Daphnia pulex: one gene and its partners. The protein of the gene in region 1 interacts with the protein of each later gene in a pairwise test. Links are inferred from orthologs where the notes say so. Each region holds a gene or a part of one and is shown in the gene's direction. Other genes may lie near its edges. The genes, in order: eukaryotic translation elongation factor 2, ubiquitin-conjugating enzyme E2 variant 2-like and DNA repair and recombination protein RAD54-like.

What was found.
Region 2: the proteins of eukaryotic translation elongation factor 2 (region 1) and ubiquitin-conjugating enzyme E2 variant 2-like interact in a two-hybrid assay, tested with the Caenorhabditis elegans proteins (2 studies listed by BioGRID). The link is inferred for Daphnia pulex from reciprocal best matches to the Caenorhabditis elegans genes eef-2 and uev-1.
Region 3: the proteins of eukaryotic translation elongation factor 2 (region 1) and DNA repair and recombination protein RAD54-like interact in a two-hybrid assay, tested with the Caenorhabditis elegans proteins (2 studies listed by BioGRID). The link is inferred for Daphnia pulex from reciprocal best matches to the Caenorhabditis elegans genes eef-2 and rad-54.L.

What each region holds. Positions count from the first base shown.
Region 1 is NC_060028.1:7,522,478-7,526,782, reverse strand, and holds the start of eukaryotic translation elongation factor 2, read left to right. Parts: upstream 1-1,461; 5' UTR 1,462-1,610; coding exon 1,611-1,613; intron 1,614-2,075; coding exon 2,076-2,403; intron 2,404-2,466; coding exon 2,467-2,881; intron 2,882-2,950; coding exon 2,951-3,059; intron 3,060-3,221; coding exon 3,222-3,336; intron 3,337-3,403; coding exon 3,404-3,790; intron 3,791-3,849; coding exon 3,850-4,010; intron 4,011-4,069; coding exon 4,070-4,186; intron 4,187-4,252; coding exon 4,253-4,305. Other genes in the region: uncharacterized protein LOC124209707, read left to right, coding at 1-157, 219-365; 40S ribosomal protein S15-like, read right to left, coding at 433-546, 613-847, 920-1,005, 1,230-1,238. UniProt on the Caenorhabditis elegans protein: Catalyzes the GTP-dependent ribosomal translocation step during translation elongation.
Region 2 is NC_060018.1:3,969,977-3,973,210, forward strand, and holds ubiquitin-conjugating enzyme E2 variant 2-like, read left to right. Parts: upstream 1-1,425; 5' UTR 1,426-1,532; coding exon 1,533-1,560; intron 1,561-1,900; coding exon 1,901-2,049; intron 2,050-2,108; coding exon 2,109-2,234; intron 2,235-2,305; coding exon 2,306-2,446; 3' UTR 2,447-2,621; downstream 2,622-3,234. Other genes in the region: diacylglycerol O-acyltransferase 1-like, read left to right, coding at 17-273, 343-387, 462-640, 703-853, 908-1,087. UniProt on the Caenorhabditis elegans protein: Involved in protein ubiquitination, but has no ubiquitin ligase activity on its own. The uev-1-ubc-13 heterodimer catalyzes the synthesis of non-canonical poly-ubiquitin chains that are linked through Lys-63.
Region 3 is NC_060022.1:2,886,587-2,890,674, forward strand, and holds the start of DNA repair and recombination protein RAD54-like, read left to right. Parts: upstream 1-1,154; 5' UTR 1,155-1,279; coding exon 1,280-1,282; intron 1,283-1,349; coding exon 1,350-1,565; intron 1,566-1,634; coding exon 1,635-1,834; intron 1,835-1,900; coding exon 1,901-1,970; intron 1,971-2,026; coding exon 2,027-2,221; intron 2,222-2,298; coding exon 2,299-2,517; intron 2,518-2,595; coding exon 2,596-2,757; intron 2,758-2,824; coding exon 2,825-3,086; intron 3,087-3,157; coding exon 3,158-3,320; intron 3,321-3,388; coding exon 3,389-3,587; intron 3,588-3,669; coding exon 3,670-3,767; intron 3,768-3,844; coding exon 3,845-3,953; intron 3,954-4,047; coding exon 4,048-4,088.

The sequences.
Region 1 (4,305 bases):
TTGCGTTGAATTACTGCTACCGAAACCCGAACCGAACACAACTGAATTGATATCAGAAGACTTTGAACAGCTCACAAAGAAAATTCAATCTACTGATGAATATGGCTTTGGACCGAATGCAAATATCATTGCACTTTTGAAAGGGGAATGGATGAAGGTATTTCTAGTAGCTACTCTTTTATCCTGTGAATGAATTTACTAACACCTATTTCTTAAAGAACTTCACCTCTCCTCAACATGAACCAAATTCCAAAATCAAAGGGAATCAGCCAACCAAGAAACCTAAAAACAATTCAGCACAGATGACAAACACTAAGACCCGTTTTTTAGCTCACCCAGCGTTAGGGATGTACTCCAGTAAATAAAATAAATAAACAGTTTTCAGGCCAAGAAGGATGTTTATTGACCTTGAAGTGACAAACCAACTGCAATTTACTTCAATGGGATGAAGCGAGAGCTGTGAGTGGCACCAATACCTGGGCGACCGTGCTTGACAGGCTTGTAACAGATGCTGAACTCACCCAAATGATGTCCAATCATTTCAGGCTAATAAAAACAATCAAAGTACGTTAGTTGAATTGCACATCAGAAGCTCTAAAGAAAATCGGCTACCTTGACTTCGACGCTGTTGAAGACTTTTCCGTTGTAAACACCAACAATGGATCCAACCATCTCTGGGACAATGATCATGTTGCGAAGGTGAGTTTTGACAACTGCAGGCTTCTCATTCTCAAGAGCTTCTTTCTTGGCTCCTCGCAATTTCTTCAACAAAGCCATGTGCTTCCTCTTAAGTCCGCGGCGGAAGCGACGACGGACTCTGGAACTCAGCATCTCAAGGAGCTGGTCCCTATGTTGCAAATCCGACAAGTGATTAGTCTTATTCTGAAGTTACCATAAAATTAAGAAATGCAAAACTTACATGGACATGTCCAGCAGCTGGTCCAAATCCACCCCGCGGAAGGTGAATTTGCGGAAGGTACGCTTCTTCTTGGTCTGGTCTTCGGTCTACCATCAAACAGAAAATCAAACATGAGTGAATTGGTGCTAAGAGGAAAAAAGTCAAAAAAGCCGATCCCCGAACCATGTAAATTAATATCCATTCCACAAATTTCCCCACTACAAGACGTAAAATTGAATTGTTCAACAATTTCTAACTTCTTCATGTACAAATAACGAAGGATGTCAAACATTATTCTGGATTTAATCTAAATTTCAGAAGAAATACTCACGTCAGCCATGGTTTTAACTGCAATGGACGAACTGCAAAAAGTGACGGCAAAAAAGTGAACTAGCAACGCACTGTTGACTAGGGTTCACATAGAAATAAATGAAAATATTCACATTCTATTAAAATAACTTTTTAAATCATAACAATTTATTTCAGAAAATAGGAAAATTTTCAGTTACACTTTTAACTCGAAAAGAAACAAAAAGTGTAATATTTGTTGCTCGACAACGCAGACAGTACGTGGTTTTGTTAATAAAGGGAGGTGATTTTTTAGCTTACTTTAGAGGTCTCTACCATCTCATCGTTCTCTTTTTCTAGACGGGCTCTCTCTGTACCCGTCTTTTTGTGAACTTCGGCAGCAGTTTATCCAATATCATCGAAAATGGTAAAGAATTCTAACTTTTAATATCATCATTCTAATTTTGAAGAGAAGGCGATTTTATTGAATGGGAAATAGATTCTCGACAGGGTCTTATCGTTTCGTTATTATTAATTTTAATATTCGTGTCCTCATGACTTGGGTCTTGACACGTTGGAAAGAAAAGATGGGGAAGATAACGGGTTGTTACAACAGATTTGAGATATCTTTGTCATGTCGTTGTATTCCGACATTTTGATTAGTATTTAGTATGCTTTATTCAAGGGTTTAAAGTATTTGACAAGATGTAGTGTATCAGGTACACTGTTCCGGTATCCGGTTGATTGCCCTTATTAACGTACCGTTTTAAGTTGACAGTTGAAAATTTTTAGGGTCTAGCTTGAGGGACATGGAAAATCTTTTATGTTGTGGGATCAAATTAATGTAAAGTGTCATTATGAGTAAAGTGTTATTTGTATTATTTTACAGGTGAACTTCACAGTAGATGAAATTCGTGTCATGATGGACAAGAAGAGGAACATCCGTAACATGTCTGTCATTGCTCATGTTGACCATGGAAAGTCTACATTGACAGATTCTTTGGTTGGCAAGGCTGGCATCATCGCTGGAGCTAAGGCTGGTGAAATGCGCTTTACTGACACCCGTAAAGATGAACAGGAGCGTTGTATTACCATCAAGTCAACTGCTGTGACCATGTACTTCGAGCTATCTGAGAAGGATTGTGCTTTCATCACCAACCCTGAACAACGTGAATCCACTGAGAAGGGCTTTTTGATCAACTTGATTGATTCACCTGGTAGGAATCATATTATTACTTGATTAAAATTGTACTAATGTTTTTGTTGTGTAAAAAAAATAGGTCACGTTGACTTTTCATCTGAGGTAACAGCTGCTCTTCGTGTAACTGACGGAGCCCTGGTCGTCGTCGATTGCGTTTCTGGCGTCTGCGTGCAGACCGAAACTGTATTGCGTCAGGCTATTGGTGAACGTATCAAGCCTATCCTTTTCATGAACAAAATGGACCGTGCGCTCCTCGAGCTCCAACTTGACCAGGAAGCTCTCTACCAAACTTTCCAGCGTATTGTTGAAAACGTCAACGTCATTGTTGCTACTTATGCTGATGATGAAGGACCCATGGGTGAGATTAGCGTTGACCCAAGCAAGGGTAGCGTTGGTTTCGGCTCTGGTCTGCACGGCTGGGCTTTTACATTGAAGCAGTTTGCTGAGATGTATGCAGATAAGTTCAAGATTGACACCATTAAGCTGATGAACCGGTAAGTTAAGAAAAAAATGACTTTCCTCTGAAGAATCATCATAATAACCAATTTATTTTACTTCAATAGCTTGTGGGGAGAGAACTTCTTCAACCCTACCACCAAGAAATGGTCAAAAACTAAAGATGCCGACAACAAGCGTTCTTTCAATATGTATGTGTTGGATCCCCTTTACAAGGTAAGGATACAAATGTCCTATGGTTTGACAATAATTTTTGTGATGATAAACACAGACCTGTACTGATCATGTTGAGGAAGCAAATTTCTAACTGATTCATGTGCACATGCTAAGATTCGCTCGTAAATGTAAGTGTTCTAATTATATTTATTATAATCGTAGGTTTTCGATGCTATCATGAACTACAAGAAAGAAGAAACCGATTCTCTGTTGACCAAGTTGGGCATTAAGTTGAGCTTGGAAGATCGTGAAAAGGATGGCAAGAACTTGTTGAAAGGTTAGTTGGTTTCAGCTGGTTGTCTGTTAGATATAAACTAAACTTTATTTTTCTGTTCAAATTTTAGCCGTCGTTCGTCAATGGCTCCCTGCTGGAGATACTTTGCTTCAGATGATTGCCATCCATTTGCCATCACCTGCTGTGGCCCAGAAATACCGTACTGAGATGTTGTACGAAGGTCCTTTGGATGATGAATCCGCTGTCGCCATGAAGAACTGCGACCCCAACGGCCCTCTCATGATGTACGTCTCCAAAATGGTACCAACCACCGACAAGGGTCGTTTCTACGCCTTCGGACGTGTCTTCGCTGGCAAGGTCTGCACTGGCATGAAGGCTCGTATCATGGGCCCTAACTACGTTCCCGGCAACAAGGCCGACTTGTACGAGAAGGCTATCCAGCGTACCGTGCTCATGATGGGTCGTTTCGTCGAGGCCATTGAAGATGTCCCTTGCGGTAAGTTGAATGTTATCCTTAGACTTCAGGATTTGTTTTCTAACTATATATCCCAATAGGCAACATTTGCGGTTTGGTTGGTGTTGATCAGTTCTTGGTCAAGACTGGTACCATCTCCACCTTCAAGGATGCCCATAACTTGCGTGTCATGAAGTTCTCTGTTTCACCCGTCGTGCGTGTTGCCGTCGAGCCCAAGAACCCTGCTGATCTTCCTAAATTGGTATTTATTTTTGAAATCGATGTGGTTGATGCTGTGATATCAACAATATTCTATTCTAGGTTGAAGGTCTTAAACGTTTGGCCAAGTCCGATCCTATGGTCCAATGTATCATCGAAGAGTCTGGAGAACACATTGTCGCTGGAGCTGGTGAACTTCACTTGGAAATTTGCCTTAAGGTAGGATCTTGTTTTTATAAAATGTATTGTCATCTAGTGTTGCATTATTATTTTTTTTTTGTGCAGGACTTGGAGGAGGACCATGCTTGCATCCCACTGAAGAAGTCTGACCCCGTCGT
Region 2 (3,234 bases), on another chromosome or scaffold:
CTATGTATTTGTTTAGATCCTTCTGATGTAGACAACGGCAAATCTATGAACGAAGTAGTATCCTATCCAAATAATCTGACTGTCCATGACTTGTATTTTTTTATGGCAATCCCCACGCTGTGCTACGAACTCAATTTTCCACGTACTTCCCGTATCCGCAAGCGGTTTTTGATCAAACGAGTCATCGAAGTATTAGTGGGAATGCAAGTTGTTCTGGGTCTTTTCCAGCAATGGATAATTCCCAGCGTTAAAAACTCGCTCGAAACATTCTCGGTTTGTCCTTTTTTCTTTATTCATTGATTCATCGATCATAAATCATACTCTTGTAATTTATTTATGCAGAAAATGGAACCTGTACCTGCCACCGAAAGATTATTGAAATTAGCGGTGCGCTACAAATAAGATATTCATATTTTTCTAATGAAACGATTGTTGTTAAACTGTTTTCTATTTTTACACAGATTCCCAATCACTTACTATGGCTCATCTGGTTCTATCTTTGCTTCCATTCCTATTTTAACATGTTGGGCGAGGTTCTTAAATTCGCCGATCGCGATTTTTATGGTGACTGGTGGAACGCGACTAATATCGATGTTTTTTGGCGCTCTTGGAACATGCCAATTCACCGGTGGGCCGTTAGGTATGTTTTATCTTAATTATCGGTTAATCCGTGTAATATAAAAATACAATTTTGATATTTAGGCACTTGTACATGCCACTGATCGAAAGAGGCTATGGTAAAACTGTCGGTTCCGTGTCCGTCTTCCTGCTCAGCGCGTTTTTTCACGAGTACTTGGTCAGTGTCCCATTACGAATGTTTAATTTGTGGGCGTTCTCTGGCATGATGCTGCAGGTATTACAATTATCACCTTAATCGATTTTTAAATAACTTAAATCTTTTACCCAGATACCATTGTCTGCCGTGTCTCACTTTGTCGAGAAAAAAGCTGGGCCGCGATTAGGTAATGTTTTGGTGTGGATGTCGCTCATACTCGGTCAACCTCTTTGCATCATGATGTACTACCATGACTATGTAATTACTCATTTTGGTAAAGACTTGATGGAACAGTTCAGCAAAATGCGATAGAATTCACATTGTCTAAAGTGCCACGGTGGGGTTTTTTCAACCAATTACTTTCCTGTTAACTATGCTGGTCTAAAAACGTTCCTCATGAAAATAATGGTGAAATTAGTCTCGAGTCTATTTAGTTCTGAAATATTGTCATTCCGCACACACGAGTTCTTTTTTATACTCCTTTTTTGTTACATGAAATAGTACTCAACTACTTTGTGATCTGCCTGGGATTCCTATTCTAGTTACTTATACCCCTTGTTGTCCAATGAATAATAAACCATGGATTATTAGCAAAATTTTGTCTTAATTTGTTTTTTTGTTTTTTTTTTTTTTTATTTTAAATACAGTTGATAACAATGTTGCATTGTCGTTTGCTGATTGGCTCATTGCGTTGCGACGCTTGAGGTGTGTAATCTATCTGGCAACCCGGCGCGTAAGAAGTTTGTCTTCATACAAGATGGCAACCACAGGAGTAGGATCAGCGGGTAATTCTTACGTCTCTAAATTTGGTTTTTAATTATTTAATTCGTATGGTTGACACAAATTTAATGAAATTCAATCAAACTTTACGTGTCTGACTTCATTTGGATCACTTGGCATATTATTGCCAATATCCAGGGTTCGGTTAAAATCGTATCGGTTTTCTGACTGATTAGTTGTTTTCCTTTTCTCCATTTTTTGCTGTCAGATTGTGTCAAAAAATAGAAAAAAAAATTTAATTGGTCTAACTCTTTAAAGAGATTATTTTTCTAAAGCTTATTTCATTTTCATATTATTGGCTAGCCATATTATCAAATGTATAAATGGTGGATATTGTAACCTTAGATGTGGTAGTGCCACGAAACTTTCGATTATTGGAAGAACTTGAACAAGGACAGAAAGGAGTTGGTGATGGAACCATCAGTTGGGGTTTGGAGGATGACAGTGATATGACCCTGTCACACTGGACAGGCATGATCATTGGCCCCCCTCGAGTAAGCTTGTATTTAAACACGCCTTATAACTTGATAATTATTTTGTGCCTTTTTTGTAGACTGCATTTGAGAACAGAATGTATAGTTTGAAGATTGAGTGTGGTATGAAATATCCAGAGGAGTGCCCACTGATCAGATTTACAACTCGTATCAATATGAATGGTGTGCACAACACAACAGGAATGGTAAATAATAATCTGACATTGTTTTTATATATTTATGGATTTCATTTATTTAACCAAACTATTGTTGGTAGGTTGACAAACGAATGGTGAGCATCTTGGTCAAATGGCAGCGCAACTATACGATCAAAACGCTATTGCAAGAGTTAAGAAGGATGATGACCCTTAAAGAAAACATGAAGCTGCCCCAACCACCAGAGGGAACCAATTTTTAAGTTGTTATTACGGAAAAAAATGATGTCGTCGTCGTCATGGTGGAAAATAATAAAAGGAAACTTTCATTCTTTCTTTGCGGAACGTTCATCCTATTGGCCTAATCCCCTTCTCAAAAATGATGTAAAATCTTATAGCTTCATTGGAATATAGGCCAATACACATGCAAGTCAAATATTTGATTTGGTTATGATTTATATCACAACCAAATAAACAGAAGGACAGACATTTTCAGTGTTCTTTTTCATCCGTTATCACGTTTTATTACATCACCTTAATATATAAATTTGTAATTCCTATTAGCTATTAGGAGTGGTATTGGGCTATTCGGCAGTATCAAGAACGAATTTACTGGCGCCACACTGACCATGCCATCTATCCAGGGAATGTCCAAGTAAGAATGTAAGCATGGCATCGACTCCTCCCCTTTTACACTTTCTTGTTTTCATTCGTATTTTCTTCGTGTCGTGTAAACCTCGCGTGATTAGTTTTTCATTATAGAAGCAGCACATTTCTCCCGGAAGGTTGTGCTGAATTTTGGATTATCATAACGTTATAGGGATTCTTTAGGAAATTATAATCATCGTTTTTAAGTGACAGTTGTTTTTTTGAAAACATTCGTGTTGTTTTTCCTCTTTTTTCCCCTCAGGACTCGTGTCTAAATAGTAACATGTTAATACTTAATAGTACTTACCTTTGATGAAATTGACCATATTCTAACAAACAGCTGCCTTGAGGTGTCTCTACTGTCAAGTTGTCAGCATGTACCTTGCTCGTATATTCACATTGA
Region 3 (4,088 bases), on another chromosome or scaffold:
AGTTTCTCCAGGACGCTGTCTAGGCAAAGTACCGATGGTTCTCAGATAAACTTAATAGAGTTCCGACGGCCTGCCAGATCAGGTGCAAGCTGCAGAAACGGTGTATATATGGCTTGAAATCCGGTTTATTATTTATTGCAAAGTACCTTTTCGAATTGGTTAAAACCTGTCGAATAAATCAAACGGTTATTGGATAAAACAGATCTAAGTAAAATGTTTAATATCTACCAGCTTCTTGAGGAAAAACCAGGGGCTTTGTTCTTAGGTTGATTGATGGTCCCACGTTTGAAACACCAAACAGCGCGAAATATTACCTGTTATGGCTGTTATGAGCCTTCGAAAGAAAAACAATTTGATGTAATAAAAACAAGCACAAATAAACAACCAAACATAATGCAAAAGCTAAGAAAATATTTAAACACAGTTAATCTAGGGGGAATTGAATAGGGGAGTTGTGATACCTTAAGGACTTGAGGAAACTGAGGTAGAATATTTTATAGGACAGCATGGACTTCCTTTTTAAAAACAAATCAAATGTGTGTTTGCTGTTAACTTTGAATGAACCTGTTGGAAGATGGAAAAAAATAAAGTTTTACTCGAATGGAATAACAACCAGCAAAAGATTCTCTATTTTAATTAGGAAAATAAATAACATGTGTTACCATTTTCCCACCTGGTGAATTCTTAATTTGCTATCGCCTCCAAAATCTAAATTGAGCTTGGATGATGTTTCAGTCAATTCAATTCGTGAAGTGGACAATCAAAAGAAATCCTCTTACACAAATCGGAACCGGAAATCACCTGAAATTGCAGTGCATCATTAATTTCCAATTTTAGATTTTGGTCTGTAAGCTTTGTTCATCCTTCTGTTCTCTGATTAATAAGAAACAAAACTGAATTAACAATAGTTTCTATTATATCTGGTACTGTGGTTAAGTACTTGGTTATCTCACATAATAACACTAACAAGTTAATGACGACACGATTTTCTGGAAACTAATAACGAGTCGCCTCGCCTCGCCTCGCCGTTGAACGGGTTGAACTTTTTTCGACCATCCTCTGCAAAGACTACTGACAGAATGCGCCAATGCGGACAGCTTAAATATTTTCGCTTGAAAGCCCATCTAGTGAGACATTCGACAACGTCACAAGCAAAAGAAACCCTTTCGAGTAATCATTATTAGAGTAACTGCATAAGCACGATGCATTCACCTTTGTGTTTGTATTTTTAAGGCGCGATTCAACACGAGAAAGAGAACAAAGTGAAGGGATTAATAAAATGGTTTGTGATGAATTCTTCTTGAATTTTAACATTTTTGTTATATTTTTACTCAATTTTACAATGATAGAGACGGAGTTTGGCCCCAAGTCAGTTGGTTCAAGTTAAACGAAAATACGATGAAGATGATGACCCAGCTTGGTCAGAAAAGAAGAAAGGAGGCAAGAATAAGAAGACACAAATAATAGACAGAGCTTCAGAGTTTCTTTCTCCATTTCGTAAACCACTTGCTCAATGTAGTCTTCCAGTTGAAACCAATTCGGAAATGGCTGGATCGTCATTCCATGTAAAACATTAACTATAATAGTTACTTAACTCTATTGCCTCAAAATTATAGCTATTAACTATTTAACAGGAAGAACTTATCAAAAAGATTATGTCAAAGCCATTCAAAATACCAATACCAAACTACAATGGGCCAACCCTTAGCAAATCACTTGGAATGAGACGAGCTGGAGTACGACAAGCTTTACATGACCCAGATGAACCTGGTGCTTTGATTTTATATTCCCCTCCAGAACTGTCTGCTCATGACAAGCTGAAATCATCCATAAGGTACAATATTAAATAGTTTGAAAAGACTGGGGGATTAAATTTTCACATCTTTAAATTTTTTGTTAGTGATAAACATCCTGTTCATGTTGTTGTTGATCCAGTATTGACCAAAGTACTTAGACCTCATCAACGTGAAGTAAGTTCCACTTATGCTGCTGTAATTCTGGTCTTCTATTAATTTTCTATTGCTAGGGAGTGAAGTTCATGTATGACTGTGTCACTGGTCTATGCATTGAAAACAATTATGGTTGCATTATGGCTGATGAAATGGGATTGGGGAAAACTTTGCAGTGCATTACCCTGCTTTGGACACTACTCAAACAAGGCCCAGACTGCAAGCCCTTAATTTCAAAAGGGATCATTGTCTCACCTAGTAGTTTGGTCAAGGTGCATTGATTCAATGATCACTTTAATAATTCACTTTGAAATTTATTAACTGCTGTATTTTTTTTTACAACCAAAAGAATTGGCAGAATGAAATCAACAAGTGGCTAAGTGGACGAGTCAATACGTTGGTGATAGACTCTGGAAGTAAAGACGAAATTGATCGCAACTTGAATGGATTCATACACACACACGGAAGGCGAGTCGTCACTCCTGTTCTGATCATCTCCTACGAGACATTTAGACTTCACGCCCACGCCCTTCTCAAGGGAGAAATAGGACTTGTTCTTTGTGATGAAGTACACTTACTCATAATTAAGATCATTATCTGGCGCGAGTCTCTTATTCAACTAACAACCGTTTGTTCGTCTCGTTAGGGACATCGTCTGAAAAACAGTGAAAATCAGACATATCAAGCTTTGGTTGCATTGAATTGCAAACGACGTGTCCTTCTTTCCGGAACGCCCATTCAGAACGATTTGCTGGAGTACTTTAGTTTGTTACATTTCGTTAACCAAGGCATTCTTGGCACTGCTCAGGTGATTCAAGATAAAAATGAGATCCTTAACTAATAATAATGACAACAAACACATTTTCTTTTTGCAGGAGTTTAAGAAACGGTTCGAGACGCCCATCCTTCGAGGTAGAGACGCTGATGCGACGGAAGAAACTCAGAAGAAGGGTCAGACACAATTGAAAGAATTGGCCGATCTAGTCAATAAATGCATCATTCGGCGCACATCCGCTTTGCTGACCAAATATCTTCCAGTCAAAATTGAATTGGTTGTTTGTATTAAGCTCAGTCCTGTTCAGGCGTCCATTTACAAGAAGGTCGTAGCATCCGAAGCTGTCAAGAGCAAAATGAGGGGTAAATATTATATAAATTAAAGTACATGATTGATTAAATATTTTGTTGCTGTCCTGCTTAAACTTAAATAGAAGCCAATGAGAAACCGAGCAAATCGAGCATGACTGCACTGGCAGCCATCACCAATTTAAAGAAACTATGCAGTCACCCGGAATTGGTTTACGAAAAGTGCCAATCGGGCGTTGACGGATTCGAAGGCACTCTGCCGTTATTTCCTGCCACCTTCGATCCCCGGTTAGTCCCACACCATTCGTTTGCGACAGTAGAAAAATCTATAACCTCGCTGCTGATTTGATCGATAGAAAACTGCAAACCGAATTGTCCGGCAAGCTCTGCGTCCTCGACTGTATTCTGGCTATGGTGAAAAGCACTACCAACGACAAGATCGTCTTGATTTCCAACTACACTCAAACTCTAGATTTATTCGAGAAACTTTGCCGAATGAGGTCTTACCCGTGCGTACGCCTGGACGGCAGCATGAGCATCAAGAAGAGAGCCAAGGTACACAGACAAATCAAACCAGTCTTAGTTCTTAATGAAGTCGGGTCAGGAAGGACTGTTAAGTACCTATTTTGCATTTCAGATTGTGGAACATTTCAACGACCCAGCCAGTTCAGATTTTGTCTTTTTGCTCAGCAGCAAAGCCGGTGGCTGCGGATTGAACTTAATTGGAGCCAACCGGTACTAATTGGTTAATGCATTCAATTTAGAATGTAAGATTATTCACAAAAAAAAATGTTGAATTACTTTCGCACAAGGTTGGTGATGTTTGATCCGGACTGGAATCCCGCCAACGACGATCAAGCTATGGCTCGTGTTTGGAGAGACGGACAAAAGAAACCCTGTTTTATTTATCGCCTGTTGTCCGTAAGTATTTCTACCCAGAAAAAACAGTCGCAAATTGGACGGTTCTAAAGCAAATAATAACAAAAATAACTCGGTCGATTTAATGAAACGACAGACTGGAACCATTGAAGAAAAAATTTTCCAGCGTCAAGCCCA